Linked DNA regions of Rattus norvegicus. The protein of the gene in region 2 purifies or fractionates together with the protein of the main gene of each other region. This does not show direct contact. Links are inferred from orthologs where the notes say so. Each region holds a gene or a part of one and is shown on either strand. Other genes may lie near its edges.

Region 1 (5,028 bases), on a different chromosome or scaffold from region 2:
TATGCCTCGAAGAAAATGAGGTTCTACACTTGTGCCATCTGCTAGCTCTGAAACATTCCTACCTCCAGAGGAAACAACAAGTGGGATGTTTGTCAGACTCTGGCTCAGAGAGAAGTCATTGAGTAGCCAGCTGAAGAGAGAGAACAGCTGCTGCGACAGGCACTCTCCCCTTACCTCCCTGGCCACGACCAGGGCTGTCTAAAGAAAACACAACAAAACATTATGGGCTTGGTCAATCCAGTTTTATCTGTCTGCCATCCAGTTACTTCTGCACTAGTAAGTGAGAGCAAGCTTATTTAGAACACATGAGCCAGAGAGAACAGCCTTGATAAAGCTGCAAATAGGCTAGTGTGCCAATATGCTGGTCTCAAAGCTCTTAAGGACAAATGCCAGGAAACCAGTCTACAAGGTCTTTAGGAAAACCACTAATGGCTACCAGATGGGTGAACTACCCTGTGTTTATCCTGGAATTAAACTGTGCATTCTGGGACCAAGGTGAACTACCTGTTCTCTGTGTACGGAGGCAGAAGAGTAGTTAAACCTGGCATTACCAAGTGCCCTGTGTCTGTGGGAAACTACTTCCTCAGGTAAGGCCAGGTTCCTAACCTGTAAAAGCAGAGTTCTTACGGTTTAGCCTCAATTTACCATTAACACATCTGATCAGAAGTACTTGGTCATGAGAACCACATGTCACTCACAAAGCCAAGACCTAACAAAACCAAGTGTGGTGGTTTGAATCAGAATGGCTCCCAGAGGCTCATAGATTTGAATACTTAGCCCCCAAGAAGTGGCACTATTTGAGTGCATTATAAGGATTAAAAGGTGTGGACGTGTTGAAGGAAATGTGTCACTGGTGTTGGAGGTTTCAAAAGCCCATGCAAGGCCAATGTCATGCTCCCTACTCCCTATAAATCATGATGTAGTTCTCAGCTATTGTCTGTATTCTGCCATCTTCCCCACCATGATGACAATGGACTAAACCTCTGAAACTGTAAGCAAACTCCAAATACATGTTTTTTGTTTTCCATATGAGCTGCCTTGGTCATGGTGTCTCTTCATAGCAATAGGACAGTGACTATGACACTGAGTTATTGTCCAATTTTAAGGGCACTGTGATGCTTCAACCAAATAATGTCTACAACATCAAGAACACAAATAGATCTAGAGGGAACAGACTTATGCTAAGAGATCAGTTGTAAAACCCCAGCATGACCATTCATTCCCAACATGATCACAGATAAGGTACTTTCTCTCACAGACCACATTCTTCCACACCATAAAACTGGATCTACTCACTCACTTTCTCCCTATGAGAACAGAGAAAAAGGGAGCAGGAGAATGGGACAGTGATGTCAATGAGTGACAGGACTACTGCTGTCTTACAAATGTCCTGTCCAGTTCTTACCCAATGGGTGGCTGGGAAAAGCAAGGAGAAACAAGAGAAGCAAAGTGCAAAGACTATGAGAAAGAAGGCTGTTTGGGCTTAATGGCAGAACAGCCAGGTCAGTATGTACAGCAAAGGCAAGGAGTCAAATCTCCTGGTGTCCACTGAAGAAGTCACAGAGAGTCACACTGAGTGCCTCTACCTACTTACCATGGAGAAACAGCTTCTCCAGTTGCTCTAGCAGTCCAGCACACTGTGTTAGCTGCTCGCGGAAGCCCTCAGCCACACAACTGTCCACATCACTGGCCTGCAGAAGTTCCTCAAATGCCTTGATCATGGTGCTCATGTGTTGATGGCAAACGACACAGATATCATGACTATCCTTAATTTGCTGCCGCTGAAGAGAGAGCTCCCTTGCTTGGGACTGAACCAATGAATCGTATCTGATAAAAGAGGGAAGGAAAATGTGTGTGTCATTTTAGAATTGAATTTTTGTGACCTTAACACTAATTGGAAAAATGACAGAGCATAATTTCTGGAAGCCCGCAGCTGTACAAGCATATATACTTTAGAAAAATTGAAACTGTACAAGGTCACTCCTTCTTTGAGTTCAAACAGCCAACAAATGCTTAAACAGAGATTCTGCTGCAATATTTGTAACCGTAGAAAGCCCCCAATTAAAGCATAGATTGGCAAGGACTCAGGAGAACAATTAGTTTCCATACACTCTTCAAAGACACTATTCTGAGTTGTAGAAACAATTGCCACAAGGGTCAGGGACCCACTGAAAATTCTCACCAAGTACAAATATGTATATACCAAGGGTAAAAAAATAGGGCTGCTTGCCTCCAACTGAGAGAGTCGGACTCCCGGCTACCACCTTACTGACTGACTAGGTCCCATCATGGGAACAAGTTATCTTAGGTCATCTGGTTCTCCCAGGCTTCTAACAAATGGATTCATTAAAAAAAAAAAAAAAAAAGGAAAAGGAAAAGGAAATATTTCTCAAAGGTATTTAGAGGTAAAGCTTTGCTTCTTAAACACACAGCTTGTGAAGATTTATTATACAATACTGCCCCCTCACCACCAGGTGCCACTCTTCTCTATGCAGTCCCAGGAGTTGTTAAGAGCAAATCAAGGAGGAAAAGCAAACAGCAAGCTGGATCTAGAGTGGCCTGACAGGCACTTCTGTTCACCATGACCACTGTTAATACCAATAACCTACAAGCAAATCACATGACAGCCATCTTAGGTAGGGAACAGTATGGGCTTGAACCCTGGCAGTGGCTCTGACCATGGGCAAGTCACAGAAATCTTTTGAGTCTCAGTTTCTCTGTCTAACAAAAACAAGTTGAGAATGCTCCTGCTCAGTGTGTCTGGAGTTAAATAGTCAGTTCCTTCCCAGTGGGGTGGTTCATGCTTGCAATCCCAGCACTTAGGAGGCAGAGGCAGAAAGATTATGAATTTGAGGGCAGCTTGAACTACGTGGTGAAACTCCATCTCAAAACAAAATGAAACAAACACTTCCGAGCCTGGGGGCTGATACAACAGCCCATCAATAAATAACTTTCCCTCAGTCTTGCTGCTTGGGTAGCCTTGAAAAAAAAATCATTCTAGCTCTTGACAATTCAGAACAGTGCTTTTCTCAAATTAGTAACGAATGAAGGTCAAATTTACAGACTATCCCATTTTTTTGCCGTATCTCATGAAGCCAATGTACATATTTATAACCATAAAGCATTATCTTCATGACCCAAGAATTTCTTGCTTTCAACACAGGCTTATTTCTCTAAAATGACCTTAAAGGGTAAAGATATGGAAAGCATTTATATTCCTCCTAACCTGCTTAGGACATCCATTTTATTTCCACAACATGGCAAAAGCCAATAATAGAGTTCAAAAATAAACACGGCAGGCAGCTCAGTAAACACACTGCAATCCCTGACTGATTGCCGTGGAGTTCTATGCTGAGTCCTCAGCCCAAGCAGGGCAACATCTGTCCTGCCCATCTCAGAAGCTGGCCAGCCCCTAATGCGCATATGGACAGAGTAATGCTGTGCAGCCTAGCCTTTCACTCTGATCCCGGCTGCCTGAAGCCCGGCGAGTTGTCCCCAGGGTACACTATCCACCCATGGAGCACCATTCCTTCAGCAGCTTCTGGGCTTCTACCTAGCAACAACCTAGGAAACCTACAAGCCTAATGAGGCGGGCTGAAGCAGGAATAGGATGTACCTTGATGGCGAGAGGTCTCGGAACTTGTTCTGCAGGTTATGGATTTCACCGAAAAGTTCCAAGTTCAAATCCTGCTCCTTCTGTAGCTCCTGCTCCTGTTCTACCAGCTGCTGCTTGAGGCTCTCTAGCATCTTGCCATCAATTATTTCTGGGGTTAGTGGACGGAGGATTTTCATGTGCTTCACATATCTTACTTGGTGCAAACTTGAAAATGTCATCTCTTCTTCATCGATGTGGCCCTTAGGCTTGTTCAGGCCATCTTGGGCCCCTTCTGTCCCACACAAAACTGTAATAATAGCCTCACTGCACTGAGAATGCTTCTGTAGCTGGACAATGATGTTCCGGTAGCCTTCCAGCTCAGTTTGCAAGTCATGGATTTTCTGTTTTAAGGCTTCTGTATCATCAGGGAGATTGATATTCTCAGACTGGTCAGTTCCAACCACACTGACTTTAACAGAGAGCTGACTCTTGGAATCCAGGTAAGTGGCTATGGAGGGTGGGCCTAAGAAGTCTTCAAGGTTCTCTTTGCATGCTGGTAATAAGGCAAGGTCATCAGGTGGGCAGATTTCAGAATCTGAAAATCAAATACTAATCTTTGTCAGTGACTCCTTTGATGCAATCAACTTTTTAACTCTAGAGTTTCCCACAGTTGAATTCTGAATCTTAAATGTCCCCAAAGTCTGTATATTAAAAGCCTGGTTTATAGAACTACTGGAAAATTGGGCTGTGTTTAGGAGGTGGGGCCTTGTAGAAGAAAATCATCACTAAAGAGGACCTTAAGACCCTATCACCAAAACCCTGGTTCCTAAATGGTTCATAGACACTATAAGGTGAACAGCTATACTTTATCACATGCCCCCACCATGATATTATCCGTCACCAAAGGCTCAGAGTGACAAGTCCAGGCAGTCATGGATTGGACCTATGAACCAAAATACTTTGTTCTTTCAAGTTAATAGCCTTAGAAATGTTATCATGTTCTAGAAAGCTGACTAGCATACTATTTTACCACTCAATCCATCCTCTTTCTCATGTTGGAAGCAACACTGCTACATACATCATCCAGTGTGTGTCCCCCCCAAAGTCACCAGACCCTTCTGCCCACATCATACTGTTTCACAGTTCCATGCTTTTGCATGCACTGTCTCCTCAATCACTATTTGTCCTTCCCTACTCAGGACTAATTTTCCTTCTATGAGCTCACCTTTCGACTGTGCACTTCTCTGTGTACAATTATGTGCCTGCTTGTCTATGTATCACATGCCTGGAGGTACGCATGCAGGTCAGGAAAGAGTTTCCTTTGTAAGTGGGTGTTCTTATCCACTGAGACATCTATCTAGGCCTGAAAAATCTCTTCCTTAAAATCAAAAGACCTGTTCTCTGCCACTGGCTCTGCTACTGTGTTTTAAATA
Region 2 (5,028 bases):
GAGTGGAACCTTGGGAGAGGAAAGGATTACAGGTGGTTCAGACTTCCAGGTCACAGTCCAGAAGTGAGGTCAGAAGCTCAATCATAAAACCACACAGGAATGACCCACAACATAGCATTTTATCACCATCCCATTGGCAAAATAACTGACTTACTGATACGGATCTAAGGACGTAAGCATCCACATTTATCTTAGTTCAATTATATAAAATATTATTTGGCTACTAAAGCTGGGCCTGTGCATCAGCTCTGACCAGCAGTTACGTTCCTGACGGCAGCGACACTTGGAAACAGGCAGAACGAGTATTTCTTAAGCTTCCTGAACCAGGTCAGAGGGCAGACACCATGGACTCGTGTCAGCAAGAGCTGCAGATGAGTCTGATGCATCCTGGACGCTCACTCGCCAAGCGTTCACCCACTTGTCGTAGGTGCTTATCTGTAATAATTAACCACCTTTTGATTTAAAGGACCCAAGCTTGCGAAAGTCTAGTTGGTCTCCACCAAGGGAAGTGCTCCAGTTGTGGATTGTTCATTTATGCTGCCCTGCAATCAAAATGAATGAGCCTGTCGCATACACGCATTGATGTCAGAAGCATTTTTATTGATATTTTTATATTTGATAGAAAAAATGCAAAGGAATTTACAAAATGAGTGCCTTTGCATCAGTACACAGAAATACACACTATAATGTGCTGTTTACGTGTATTGGGGAAATGATAGTAGACACATTTCAGATTTTTTTGGTAACAGTTCCTTGTGAGCAAGAAATAATCAAACATCATGAATTTAATTTTGTCTCTAATGTTTTCTTTCTTATTTTAAGGAGCTTTAGATAGATAGAAGAAAAAAATGACAAGACATTGGGATTTATTAATTTGAGTTTTGAGTACATTGGTATTTATTTACATTATTTTCATTTTGTAGCTGTGAAACATTATTTAAGAGATTCTTGCTAGCTATACCAACCTATTTACCATCACACTGAGTTAATCAATAGAAACATGATACTGTCTTTCTTGAGCAAGACAAGCGGTTTGGTGCATCTGGAAGAGGTCTCTAAAGCAGACCAGCTCCTCCACACGAGTTTGAAAACTGTGACGTGTTTTCTCCTTTGAAGTTCAGTCCATGTAGAGAAATCGAATCCGAGCTGCTACTTCAGCTTTTCCTCATGCTTACGCCTGTTCACTTCAAGGACGATCTGAGGCTGCAGATGGAAGCCCAGCGCCTGTGCCTTTTTGTGGTTTATTCAACTCATGCGGATCAGGTTCGTGCATATATGGAGAAGGAGAGAGAGGAAGCTCTTTGCAGCCTTAAAGATGAGCTCGTTTCCGCTCAACAGAAAAAGATCGACGAGCTTCATAAGATACACCAGTGCCAGCTCCAGCATGTTAAAGTACAGGAGACAGGTAACCAGCCTCTGACTAATGTCCACGAAACACATAAGCGTCCCTTAAAGTATCATTTGGTAATCCTGGCCTTGTCTCCGGCCCCGTGGGGTAAGGGGCTCTCCATCTGATTCCCGGATTTGTTTATTCATGTCACTGAGGTGCCCGGGACAGCAAAGCTCACTGCCTCATTTCCTCATGGAAATAAAGCCATTCAGAAAGTGCCCAGAAACGGACTGTGAACGGAGCCGTGCTAAACCATACTGGAGGAAGCACCAGTGGAGAGAGATTGGCTGTGTGTCTAGGGCATGCGTTTATCATTGGCTGGACTATTTCCTGAAGTATCCCAGACTGACAAGTAGCCCAGATCACTCCAGGGTGAATACACAGCATGGGAGGAAGAGGGAGAGGCGATGAGTGTTCTGTAACGGTGGAGCAGAGCAGTTGGGTTGGGAACTGTGGGGCGTTTCTGAAATGTTAAGTATAGACCTGCAGAGAGAGACCCATTTTGGAGAACTGAAAGTTCAAGTTGTTTAAGAAAGTAGTGAGGGATAAGCTGAAGCGAGTGGCCAGTGCCTGATTAGAAGACCCATATACCTCGGAGGAGGAGGCTTAAACTTCCTGCTACGGCTTTTAAGTAGAGGAGGCAACAGTGATATTTTTATTTACGAGGACACCCATGTGCTTAATTGGGAAAAATTAAGTAATTGATGGGCAGATCAGTTAAACAACCTTAGCTATAGCCAATAAATGTTGAGACCGGAAACAAAATGACAGTGAAACTTAACAGTCGGAGCTAAATGCTGTCACTGTCAATTTATAGCAGCAGCAAAGGTGGGAGGAGTTGAGAATATTTCTGACTTCTCTTGCCTATGTGGTTTCAGTCACAAAGAGGAGCAGACCATAGACAATATAGTCAGTTTAGAATACTCCGAGTATATATGTTAACTTGGAAAAGAAATAGTCACTAATCACTAATCAGCTAAAAGGAGTGGGCCAAAACCCAGGGGAGACTTTTAGGCTAAAAAAAAAAAAAAATACAGTCTGTGTGGAGCTGAAAGACCAGAGTCCCTAAGGCCAGAAGTAGAGTGAGATGCCCTGGAGACTGGAGGGTAAGCAGAAAGCCTTGGTGGCACCGTGGGAAGGACACTGAAGAGACCACAGTGGAAGGCAGAACCTGTTAGGGGGCAGCTGTTGTTGAGGATTTGTAATTTTCTACTCTGGCTTCCTGTCCTTTAGCCACTGTTGGCTCCCATATTTACCATTAGGAATGAGGTCCTTAAGTCTCCGGTGGAATTGCGCTGTTGAACAAAGTTAAGATTTCAAGAGTCACTTAAAGAAGGATGGCAGTTTTTCGTTTCCAGAGTTTTCTTTTTGTTTTTGTTTTTTAATGCAGTAAGATTTTGCATGCATTGTTTGTATGTTTGTATTGATACCTCTTCAGATAGCCTGTCTAGTGTTTTCTGTTGACAGTCGAGTGTTCTATTACTAGGTGATAAAGCAGTTTAGTGAGTGGTGATTAGTGTTTCTGAAAAGAGAAGAGAACAGAAAATATATATATTTAATAATTAATTAATGAATTTAATTTTGCAGTGCTAGGGCTGAGACCCAAGGCTTGCACATACTAGTCAGAGTACCCACTACCCTCCCACTGAACTCTGCTCCTGCACAAAAAGATAGCAGCTCGTTTGTGAGAGCTGTGAGGTTTGCAAGGATGCATTTAATGGATAAGTATACAGATATATTTCTTGGGTTGGAATGTAGAATCCTGAATGTATAAACCCTTTTATAGAATAGAAATTGCAAATCTTAGAAATTTATCTGAGACAGTTACATTGCACATTTGGAAGAAATTGAAATGTGTCTTATTTTAGGGAAGCTTCTAGTCTTATTCTAGGGACGCTTCGGTGATAGCATTAAAATATGACAGCATTACTCGCATATGTGCAGCAAATAGCTCACGTGTGGTGTTTTCTGCTAGGTAACGAGCCTTTACAGGTGCTCATTGAACGGCTTCAAAAGGCAGTGTCTGAGAAATGCTTTCACATCTCAAAGGTAAGATGTTACTTTAAAAGAGGCTTTGGATGAGAGTTACCAAAATCAACATTGCTACTGATTTAATGAACAGAATAATCCACTCATGTTTGCCCAAATCTCTTGCGTCTAGAACTGTACTTACCAAGTATTCCTGAGTTTTGAGCTTAAAGGAGCATTTGACTTTTTTCTGATAGCCAGTTTGGAACAATAGGACATTAGAGCTATGGATGTGACTCGGACCCAGCGCTTGCCTGTTGTGTTTGAGGTCTTGAGTTGGGTTTCTGGCACCACAAAAAGGAACAAAGAAATTGAGATAAGTTGTGTCTCCAATAGTGCAGACTCTATAATCATTGTTCTTGTCAGAGAGTTACTATTTAACCTTCCAAGCAAACAGTTTGTTCATTAAAACTTTACCTTTGTGGCTGTGCTGAAGTAGCAGTATGCCAGTTATTGACTGCGTGCTTAACTTTGAAACATGCAAGAAATGGCAGCAGCTTTAAAAGTTGGCTTTTAAGTCTTTTAAATCTTTGGTGGTTATTTCCAGTTGAGTGAGAAACAAAGGTAAAACTAAATCGGACAGCTTGTCAGGTCATAGAACATGAAATGGCGTCTTACATGATGGAATTTTCAGTTTCTCTGGGGAACATGGTGCTGGATACTTTTAACGTTGTGTGTGTGTGTGCAGACTACAGAAAATACTCTGGCATATTATTGAAAGGACATTAGTATAACCTCCTCCTTGATGGATTTTCATTTTGGTAGGTTTGACAGACCTCTCAAATCGTCATCTTTGAACTTTCTCTCCTTGCGATGTTCAAGATAGTTGACATAGTAATGAGATATTTTTATGGCAGAGCAATCACATCAGAGTGGGAACTATGTGAGGGAGTGATGGCTTACTCTTCATTGTATATTTCAACATTAAAAGAGAACAGAAAAATCCATAATATTTTGTATAATTAAGATTATCCATATTTTCCTGATAAAAGAATAATTTCATGCCAAAGAGAATGTTTTTCCTGTAGATTGATTTCATATATGGAGGGAGAGGGAATTCAGAATCCATTCATACAATTTCGAACTTCTTTTGCATTTAGGTTAATGTTTTCTAATACTTAGGAGAAGAAATTAAAATTTTAATTTAAAATATTCAATTTTGTTAACAGACCCTAAACAATGTTTTCGATGAATGTTATACTCCTTTAAAATGTGAAATGAATATAGAAGAGAAAGAGAATTCTGGTGTTTACACTTCTCAAAATCAAAGCCCAGAATTACGAGAGTATAGATACGAAGTCCAAGGTAAAAGCTTACTGTGCTGTAAACAGTATTTACTTTGCTTAAGTCAACTGCTTATAAACTTAACTTTAATCACAACTTAATTAAGACAAGTTTTCTTAGCATCTTTTTTTTAGCTATGGAATTTATATTTAGTGTATTCTTTTCATCTTTATAGTACTATACAGATAAATACTTGTTTTTCTTGTTTCTTTATTCTTGAATTTTTTCATTCCAGTCTAATTCTTAGTGTTAACTGTTATAACTGTAGATCCTAATCTTTAAAAATTAGAGTTTACTAAGTTTCAATTAATGGTTTATAATTTTAA
Region 3 (4,951 bases), on a different chromosome or scaffold from region 2:
ACTGTAGTCCTTGATGACCAAACCTGTGAGGTGTTCAGGGTTGGTTTTGTTGTTGTTTGTTTTGTTTTATGTAACATTGGCTGGCCATGTAGACCAGGTTGGCCTAGAACTCATAGACCTCTGGGGTGCTTGGGCTCAAGGTATACATACGACGCTGTCTTGCCCTGCAGGGTGGTTTTGTGTTGACAATTGTTTGTACCCTGATGACTTTCTTCCAAAACTCTGATTGGCAGACAAAATTCCCTAAACCACTTTCTTAAGTAAGTTAACTCCTCAGCAGACAAAATTTCCTTAAACCACTTTCTTTCCTCAGCAAGGCACCTGTCCCTTTCAGCCTTCTAGTCCAAATCTAGGATAGAATTATTCAGCTCAGAATGGGGCAGGCAGGGGGAATTGATTTTTGTTGTTTCATTCGACACAGGGTCTCACTTTGTATTCTGGGCTGGCTTGGAACCTGATGTAGCCCAGGCTAGCCTCAGATATGCTAATGCTTCTGCCTCTGCCTCTCAGAGTGCTATAGTGACAGATATGTGCCGCCATGTCAGGCTCCCCAGTTTTTACAATAGAGTTTGGGTGTCTGTCACGCTGTCCTTGAAATCTTGGGCACACGAAGTCCCCCTACCTCAGCCTCCCACATAACTGGGACAACTGGTATGTGGCATTTCTAGCCTTTAGTCTACATTTTGATTAGCTAGACATGGGGTATCTTGCTCTGTGGGCACACAGAGGGGATGTGGTCATGTTCACCCACACATCCCCTCCCGGCTTGTCCCACCAGTGAGCCCCACGCCCGTTTCTACGCGGCGCAGATCGTCTTGACTTTTGAGTATCTGCACTCCCTGGACCTCATCTACCGGGACCTGAAGCCCGAGAACCTTCTCATCGACCAGCAGGGCTATATTCAGGTACCTGCGGGGGAGGGCACTGGAGGGCACAGTTGGAACCTGCAGCCCTTCTCTCTGCCAACTGCTCATTCTTGTGCCTACAGGTGACAGACTTCGGTTTTGCCAAGCGTGTGAAAGGCCGAACTTGGACCTTGTGTGGGACCCCCGAGTACTTGGCCCCCGAGATTATCCTGAGCAAAGTAGGCACCTCTCCAGCCTGCCCACCCCTGAGGCCTACTCCACCTCATTAGCCCGCCCTGCCCCTGAAGAGTCATCTCCTTCTTCACCTTCTTGCCTCATCGAACGCCCCCCCCCCCCCATCTTGCTCTAGGGCTACAACAAAGCTGTGGACTGGTGGGCTCTCGGGGTCCTCATCTACGAGATGGCTGCTGGTTACCCGCCCTTCTTCGCTGACCAGCCTATCCAGATCTATGAGAAAATCGTCTCTGGGAAGGTGAGGCCAGGAGATGGAGTTCATCCCTGGAAGGAATCAAAACAGCCTGTCACATGTCCTCACAAGGCAAAATGTGCTGTCACAGACCTGTTGTCTTAACAGTCGAGCCTGAGGCAGGAAAATCTTGTTTGAGGCCAATCTGGGCTGCATAGAGATTTCCAGGATAACATGGGCTAAAGAAATAGTGAAACAGAAAATCAAGGACAGGGGTATATGACTCAGCCATAGAGCACTCGCCCGGAGTCTATCGTGAAGGGGACAGGGGTGTGGCTCAGCGGGAGAGTTGTAGTCTAGCATGTGTGTAACACACACACACACACACACACACACACACACACACACACACACACACACGAACGACAGGACTGAACTCCCAAGCATGTCCCAAGCTGACCCACATCAGAGCTCTGGCTACAGAAGCTGCTACCTTGACACCAGACCAGAAGAACAAACCAAACTCATTCAGTTCCCAGGTGTCGACCCCAGCCATACCAGCAAGCCTCACCCTGCTGTGGGCAGGACCTGCAACTGCCTATTCCTTCCAGATGTAGTCTCCTTAGTGACCCTGGCATGACAGTGTAGACTTAAACGTTCTGCACTCTTCAGAAGTCCGAGGCAGAGGATTGGCATAAGTGCCAGACCAACCTGGCACAGGGCCTACAGGGTAAAACCTTGTCCATGACAAAGACAGAGCCCAAGACCGGACCTTTCAGGAGGCCCATTCCTGTCCTCACCATTCATTAGCCCTGGCTCACCCTCTAGCCTTATCCTGAAGAAATGGCACCCCTGTAGGAGAGGTAAGGATACTAAGGTACAGAAAGGGCATGTGGTTGGTCTAAGATTGCACCATGGGAATCAAGTGGAAGCCTCAGTGGGGTTGGGGAGCAGCGCTGAGAGTCACAGCTCTGCCTTCACCAGCCTTACCTAGCAGGGGAGCCCGGCTGTCACCCCACCTGTTTTATTGTCTTTGACAACAGCTACTGGCTGGCTCCAAGTCTCCATAAGTGGTTCACTGCTCCCCAAGTCCCAATCCTGTGACAAACTATTGGGTGAAACTGAGACAAAGTCACTTAGATTCTCTGAACCTCATTTTATCTATCCATCTGCCTGTCTGGGAGGTTGGAGGAGAGACAGTATTCTATGCTGTGGTCCTCGGGGCTGAGCACACACTATCACCTAGGAGTGGATGTGCACACCTCCCATGAGACAGAAGAAAGACAGCCATGTGCTTTTCTTCTTTTTTCTCTTTTCTTTTTTCTGTCTTGTTTTTGTTTTTTGTGTTTTGCTTTTTTTTTTTTTTTAAATCAGGTTCTTACTTTGTAGCCCTAGGTAGTCTAGATTTTACTAAGTATGCCAGCAAACTCACAGAGATCTGCTTGCCTTTGCCTCTGCTGGGATTAAATGAGCCTTAGTAAGTGCTTTTCCCCCTAGCATTCAGAAGACTGAGGCAGGATTGCTGTAAGGTTAGGGAAACAAATTTTGGGACCTGTTACAGAATATCATTCAGAAGAAACCCAAAATGAAAAGTTGAAATGTCCTAGATGGTGGCTGAGAGAGTACAGAAAAACTCCATAGAAGACTGAGGAAGACGGGAGGACATTTTGTTGTATTGAAATCGGACTCCCAATTCCATACATAGTCAAGGTTACCCTTGAACTCTGGGTGCCGCCACTGCCTCCCAAGTCCTGGGTGGACAGGCATGCGCCACCACACATGGTTGAGTATAATCTCCATTGTAGCAATTTACAGTTCCCACGGGCCCTGACTGTTATCTTGTCACACAGAACCCTGGGATATCTGCCCCATGTCATTGAGACCAGTGCAGGCCTGGAGAGGTTAAGGGCTCTGGCCAAGGTCACACAGCACCGGGAAGGCTTAACAGGGACCAGTTGGGTTCTTGTCTTTGTTTCTTTCCTTCCTTTTGCTTTTCTTGCAAGTCTCCATTCCCTTTCCTCATTTCTTCCTTCCTTGTTCTTTTCTTCCTCACCCTGGGTTCTTGTTCCCTTCAGTTTTTTACATCTCTTCATTGTGTTTGTGGCACTGAGACTGGCTGTGTGTGTCAAGGACAGCGTAAAGGAGTCAGTCCTCTCCTCCTGCCATGTGGGATGTGGGTGGCAAACTTAGATAGATTATTAGGCTCAGCAACAGGTACCTTTACCTGCTGAGCCACCGCTAGCCCTTTTGTGGGTGTTTGTTTGATTAACTGACTGACTGACTGATTGACTTACAAGGTCTCAATATGTAGCGCTGGAACTCAACCTTCCTGCATTAGTCTTCCAAGAGTGGGAGCGACAGGGTTTGCCACCACCTCTGCCTCCTAGAAGCTAGTTCTTATGGGTGTAAATCCAGAGGCTGCATACAGGGCTAAGGGCCTCTGGAGGTGCACGACTGGATGGATACAAGCTATCTTATCCAGACTGAGGAACTATCCTTACTTTAGAAGCTCTCAGACCCCACTCAGAGGCCTGCAGAATCCCAGCTGAGGGTACATTTCAAGTCTACAGACCTGAGACAGAACCTCCCACAGTTCTGTTCCCTGTGACCTTGGGGTTGTAGATTCTCAGGCCTTACCCAGAATTCCCAAGCCAGCAAACTCAGGAAGACACTCAACATGGTTTTTGTTTGCATGGCCACTGGGGCCTAAAAGTGGAGGCCTGTGTATGCTGGGCTCCTGACCTGGCCCAGAGCTGTAGTGCTAGCTCCACCAAGCCATCTCTGCTGATAGTTTCCCTACTTTATTTTTTTAGTTTTTGTTTTGTTTTGTTTTTGTTGTTTTTGTTTTTGTTTTTGTTTTTCGGAGATGGGGACTGAACCCAGGGCCTTGCGCTTGCTAGGCAAGCGCTCTACCACTGAGCTAAATCCCCAACCCCACCCTACTTTATTTTTTAACTATGTAACTTTGTGTGTTTTTTAACTTTGTGTGTCTGTATGTACGTGACATGAGTACAGGACCCCTGGAGGCCAAAGGCATTAGATCCCCTAGAAATGGACTTAACAGTGGTTAGAGGCCAACATGTAGATGCTGGGAATGAAACCCGGGACCTTTGCAAGAACAAAGCCATTCATTGGTCCAGCAATGAGTTTTTGGGATTTTGTTGAGGCAAGGTCTTCCCTTCTCCCCCCACCCCCACCCCCCCCCCAGAGCTGAGGACCAAACCCAGGGCCTTGCAGTTGCTAGGCAAGCACTCTACCACTGAGCTAAATCCCCAACCCGAGGCAAGGTTTTATTATGTACTCTTGGCTGATCTTGCCATACAGACCAAGCTGGCCTTGAACTCACATCACAGAGATCCACCTGCCCTTGCCTGAATGTTAGGATCATCAGTGAAGGCTAGCACGCTCCAACAAGCCATCTTTTTGTTGGTTTTTGAGTGGTTTTGTTGTTTGTTTTGTCAACCCCCCCCCCCCCAAGCCGGTTTGTTTGTGTAGCCCTGACTGTCCTAGAACTCCCTCTGTAAACCAGACTGGCTTCAAAGGCACAGAGATCCACCTGCCTGGGCCTCCTGAGTGCTGGGATTAAAGGCATGGGCCACTACTTCCCTGCCCTGCCCTGCCCAGCCCTGCCCACAAGCCATCTTAACAGATTCTCCCTGTAGGACTATTGGATAGAACA
Region 4 (5,028 bases), on a different chromosome or scaffold from region 2:
AGCCGGGCTGCAGATGATGCTGAGCGGGAACGCCGGGACCGAGAAGAACGATTAAGACACTCCCGGAATCCAGCCACTCGTGGCCTCCCTTCTACAGCTTCCGGCCGTCTGCGGGGAACCCAGGAAGTGGCTCCCCCAACGCCCCTTACCCCTACCTCACATACGGGTAAGCACATCTCTTAGTGTTCTTCACCAAACTAGGACCTCTGTTTAATGTGTTGATGAATTGCTAACCACACCAGTATGTGGCCTCAAAAAGATTCTGGGTTAATCAGTTGAGGGTTGTGTCCCTACTTCATTCTGAAGAGTAGGTAGGACAGGGACATAGGACATGATGTTACCTTTAGACATGGCATGGTAACCCCAAAATTTGGGAAGAGGGCAGGGTGGCTTTCTGTGAACTTAAGGCCAGCCTGGTCTACATAGTGAGATCTTGTCTCAAAGGAAAGAAAGAAGTAAGAGTTGACTTTCATGGGACTGGAGAGATCACTCAGTGGTTAAGAGCTCTAGCTGTGGGGTTGGGGATTTAGCTCAGTGGTAGAGCGCTTGCCTAGCAAGCGCAAGGCCCTGGGTTCGGTCCCCAGCTCCGAAAAAAAAAAAAAAAAAAAAGGAAAGAAAAAAAAGAAAAAAATAAAAAAAGGAGCTCTATCTGTTCTTCCAGAGAACTTGGATTTATTTCCTAACACCCATAAGTAAGTTTTTACATTGAATCTCTAGTTCCAGGGGAACCAACATCATCTTCTGGATTTCTTGGACACATGGTACACAGAGATGTGTAGGGAAAACATCCACACACATAAATAATTTTTTAAAAGTTTAGCTCTCATAATATAGATATTCTCATAAATCTTTGAATACTCAGGGCGGACATGTATATTGCTAAACATTGGAGCCTTAAAATGCATTCATCTACTAGGGTTTCTTGGAATTGCTGAACATTTGAACTTGAGTTGGTTATGTGAAGCCCTGAGCCAGTTCAGTGGGTTCAGGATATGTACTTGGCTAGGGTCATTAGCCTCTGTTCATGAGATTTTTTTTTTTTTTAAGTTAATTACATGTGTCATGGGTGTTTGCCTCGTGTGTGCCCAGTGCCCTTGAAGGTCAAAAGATGCATCGAATCTCCTGGAACTGGAGTTAGAGGTGGTTTTTAGCCACCACCATATGGATACTGGAAACCAAACTGGGTCCTCTGTAAGAGCAAGTGTCTGTGACCATTGAGCAGTCTCTCCATCTAATGAGGTGTTAAAAGAGCCATGGATATTTAATAATTGTGGTTTCTCGTCCTCTCCAGCCAACACCTCTCCTAGACCCGTCTCTGGCATGGAACGAGAACGGAAAGTGAGTATGCGGCTGCACCGTGGGGCCCCAGTCAACGTCTCCTCATCTGATCTCACGGGCCGACAAGATACCTCTCGCATGTCCACCTCACAGGTATGCATGTAGAACTCACTGAGGCCTAGCTGCGCCAGACCCAAGTGTGGGGATGCATGTCCTTGTCACTGTGTGCTGACACCGGCTCTCCCTACCTTTCTTAAGAACTGACCTTTATAGGTTCATAGTCAGGAGTGGGGCAACATTTGTGAAAAATGTATTTCCTTTCTTCCTCCTACTTTTTTTCTTATTTTTATGGATGCTTAACCCATTGGAGCCTGCGACTTACTGGGTTTCTAAAGGGTTTGTTTCCTGGCTAGGACTGTAATGATTGGCTGTGAACTGTGTGTGAAGCTTTTCCTCTTACGCTCATTTCAGAGGGACATCCCTATCCCTGCCCCGCCGCCTTCCCCACCAGGGAAGACAAAATATGCCTGCTTGCTTGTACCTTTTGACGAGGAGATGTCTGTCATTGGCACACCTGGCTTTTATAACTACTTGTGTTTGCTAGCCAGGCTCTCCTTAGCAGAATACCAGGAAAGGCACTGGCTGCATAAGAAGGGTTCTTGTGAGCGATCGTTAGAGGTGCCAAGCTATAAAGTGTCATCTTCTGTTGACCTGTCTGTCTCTAATGAAGTACGCAGGCAAGGTAGGGTAGTTGGAGCTAGTTCCCAGTCCTCTTTCTCATAGATACTCCTTCATCTACATCTGAGTCCTCTTCCTCTCTGCTTTTGCTGCTTTTACATTCAACACTGCTTTGTTCAACAGACTAGAATAACTTCTGTCAACATTACACTTCTTTTTCTGAAGTAGGGTCTCCCACTTACGGGGCTAGGTGGGGTCAAGGATGAATTTGAGGAGGTTTTTGCCAGTACCACTGCCCTTCTAGAGCTTGTTTTGAAGCGCACTTGTATGGCAACACCTCTCTGGTTCACTGTGGGACCTAGTACAGTGTTTGCGTGGGGAAGGACTGAGCATGTATTGATTGAGTCAATGCAAGATCCCTGGGGCTTTCTGGGCTCAGGCCACACTGGGGACTGTACTGGTAAAAGGTGTTCCTGTGCGTTCCTTATTTGCCAGAAATTTCTGGGTTTGTATAATTTTCTCCTGAAAAGACAACAGATGTAGGAAGTTTGACAAGAGATCACTTAAGTTCTAGGCCTTGAGTTTTGACATCAGGAGATTGAGTTCCTCAGTGTGTACCATACCCTCTTAAGCTCGGCTTCCTTGTGGAAGACTTAACAGTTTGTTTTTCTTTGGTTTGGGTTTTTTTGTTTGTTTGTTTTGTTTTTGTTTGGGTTTTTTTGTTTTGTTTTTCACACAAATCCTTGTGTTTACATTAGGAAGTGGTTCAATTCTGCCTGTTCATCTACAACCTGTGGTGTGTTGGGTCCTGGCTGGGTTTGGACATATTTCATGCCAGCAGCTAGATAGAGGCTAAGGAAGTGATGGCAGGGATGGGCTCTTTTGCTTTTAATTCAGTATGAAAATGAAACATCTGTTAGTTTGGGATCCAGGAGGAAAATGGAAGAATCAGGTTTTGTGGATACCAAGAAGACATGGGATACAGCCCAGCTTCTTCCTGCCAAGGCTATGGCTTCCTTGGCCTTATGGTATCAGAATAGCACTTCCTTCCACATGATGAGTCTCTGATTGCTTGGTCTCTCATGTTTATGCATGGAGAACTATTAACAGGCTTTAACATGGTTGGGAGGCTCCCTTCCCGGAGTTTCTTAATTTCTCCTTGGCTGTGTTGGGGATTTTCTAGACTGTGACTCACACTCTGCCTTGTGTGGTTGTCTCTAGGGTGCTCATTTGTCTTCATAGCTGCACCTTTGGGGGAGTTGTGCTGTCACTAAAAGGCAACTACCCTTAAGAGGATCCTTGTTGTTACACAGTACCACCAGCATCAGTGTGCTCTTACTATATACGATGTGTTCTCTTCTCCAAATAATTCATCCCTCTCTAAACTCTTTTCTAGGCCCTCAGCCAGGCTTCTGTTCTGGCCTTTTAGAAATTAAAGGCTAGTTGGGGTTAGGCAGGCCAGTATTAACTTCTCCCTAGAGAGCAGGGGTTCAGGTAGGAGTGATGGCGTCACTTAGCACAGTGAACTCTAGCGAGCACCGTGCATATAAGCTCTTGTCACAACAGCACATACCTTTCACTCGGCCTCCTTACCTACAGCTGCTGGTTTTCTAATAGTTGGTGCATCCTATGAGATAACATGACACCCACAAGTCCATACACTTGGTTAAAGCCAGTCTTGACAAGCATCTGCTGCTCTTGTCCACCACCTCATGATGCTGACAAGGCATGGTACAGGTCACTGGAGTCACCGCTTCTTTCCTGTAGAACCCTGCCCTCACACTCACTGCCTGTAAGCAGCTGGGCTTCTTCAGCATCTTCCTTTCCCTGAAGGGCCCTGCATTGGGCAAGTCTTCTCGGGAGACCATGTTCCCATTTTCCCTGATATCTGTGAGTTTGCTCTCATTAGACAAAAGAACATAGGCTTTGCAGGGCATCTGATGAGTGCATCTCTATTGTTTTTCCTTCATTGAAAAGAAAGGTTTCCAGTCTAGCACAGTTCAAAATATGCCAGTTACTGCTTTTGATGCCTTACTTAGTACACACCTGCCCCAAAATAAGGTTCTAAGATCAGCCTGGTACTCTGTTAGGAGGGAGTGTATCCCTGGGTGCATCCTGGGAGGTGCTATCCCTTCCACCTGCTGCGTAGTGCTGTGAAACCAATCTATAGGGCTTCCTCAGCCTCGCCGTCCACTGGATTTCAGCTTTTCTAAAGGATGACATTAGGAAACAGCAGTGGTCACTTTTATCAAGGGTCATGAGAGACAGATGAGTTGTGCACTGTGTGGTGAGACTTGCCATTAGCTGGCGTCCCCAGAGTGTCTGTTCGTGTCTTGACTTGGTCAAGGCAAGGGACACATCAGGACTTGGGCTCAATACAAGAAGCCAGGGGACCAGGATCTCATGTGCTGGTGTGGCCAACAGGACACTTACCAACAGCTGTCTTTTCCCCCACCTCAGAATAGCATTCCTTTCGAACACCACGGCAAGTAGCTGCTCGTCTCCATCGGAAGGCAGCACTGGGTGAGTGTGCTCATGGTGGGGCTCTGCAAGTAGCAGGTGCCAGGCAAGGTGGGAGCAACTCCCCACCTGTCATCTGGGCTCGCTGGTGGGCTGGGCTTGCATGCCAAATGCTGGAGGTAGAGTGAGGCTTCTTCTGCTTGTTTTTCTTTGTGTGGGTTATGGAGTAGCAATGGTGAGCTACCCAGTCTGGGGATCAGTGGCATCCTTAGAATCTCTGGACTGAGTGACCTTAGAGAACCATCCTGCTGTGCCTTTGTCCTCTGGCCTCCTGTGATTATATTTAGTATGCTGGAACTGCCCTCAGTCCTGGCTCTGGCAGATGTGCTGGTAGCACATGTGTCTGTTGTACTCAGCTGAGTGGTCCATGCTTGGTGTTGGGCTTTCTTGAGCTCTTGCTACATGCAGACCCGGTGGTCTGTGCCCATCCTGGCTTTTTCAGTCATCCCTCTTCCTCTTTCATTTATCTCTGTCCTCATTTTGTGTTTCTTTCCAAACTTGGTACCTGCCCAGCCATCTTGTCCATGCAGCTGTTGTCTGTATTAATCCAGC

What was found.
Region 1: the proteins of Akap9 (region 2) and Cdk5rap2 purify together in Homo sapiens (affinity purification with western blotting; 4 studies listed by BioGRID and IntAct, with this or other methods). This does not show direct contact. The link is inferred for Rattus norvegicus from reciprocal best matches to the Homo sapiens genes AKAP9 and CDK5RAP2.
Region 3: the proteins of Akap9 (region 2) and Prkaca purify together in Homo sapiens (affinity purification with mass spectrometry; 7 studies listed by BioGRID and IntAct, with this or other methods). This does not show direct contact. The link is inferred for Rattus norvegicus from reciprocal best matches to the Homo sapiens genes AKAP9 and PRKACA.
Region 4: the proteins of Akap9 (region 2) and Csnk1d purify together in Homo sapiens (affinity purification with mass spectrometry; 4 studies listed by BioGRID and IntAct, counting the BioPlex papers as one, with this or other methods). This does not show direct contact. The link is inferred for Rattus norvegicus from reciprocal best matches to the Homo sapiens genes AKAP9 and CSNK1D.

Annotation. Positions count from the first base shown.
Region 1 is NC_086023.1:88,845,900-88,850,927, forward strand, and holds part of Cdk5rap2 (CDK5 regulatory subunit-associated protein 2), read right to left. Parts: intron 4,191-5,028; coding exon 3,617-4,190; intron 1,828-3,616; coding exon 1,595-1,827; intron 1-1,594. UniProt on the Homo sapiens protein: Potential regulator of CDK5 activity via its interaction with CDK5R1. Negative regulator of centriole disengagement (licensing) which maintains centriole engagement and cohesion. Involved in regulation of mitotic spindle orientation.
Region 2 is NC_086022.1:31,108,657-31,113,684, reverse strand, and holds part of Akap9 (A-kinase anchor protein 9), read left to right. Parts: intron 1-1,116; coding exon of another isoform or gene 1,117-1,191; coding exon 1,192-1,405; intron 1,406-3,365; coding exon 3,366-3,439; intron 3,440-4,587; coding exon 4,588-4,723; intron 4,724-5,028. UniProt on the Homo sapiens protein: Scaffolding protein that assembles several protein kinases and phosphatases on the centrosome and Golgi apparatus. Required to maintain the integrity of the Golgi apparatus. Required for microtubule nucleation at the cis-side of the Golgi apparatus.
Region 3 is NC_086037.1:41,061,765-41,066,715, reverse strand, and holds part of Prkaca (cAMP-dependent protein kinase catalytic subunit alpha), read left to right. Parts: intron 1-778; coding exon 779-905; intron 906-988; coding exon 989-1,084; intron 1,085-1,215; coding exon 1,216-1,338; intron 1,339-4,951.
Region 4 is NC_086028.1:106,726,579-106,731,606, reverse strand, and holds part of Csnk1d (casein kinase I isoform delta), read left to right. Parts: coding exon 1-166; exon of another isoform or gene 167-1,291; coding exon 1,292-1,431; exon of another isoform or gene 1,432-4,416; coding exon 4,417-4,449; 3' UTR 4,450-4,479; exon of another isoform or gene 4,480-5,028. UniProt on the Homo sapiens protein: Essential serine/threonine-protein kinase that regulates diverse cellular growth and survival processes including Wnt signaling, DNA repair and circadian rhythms. It can phosphorylate a large number of proteins.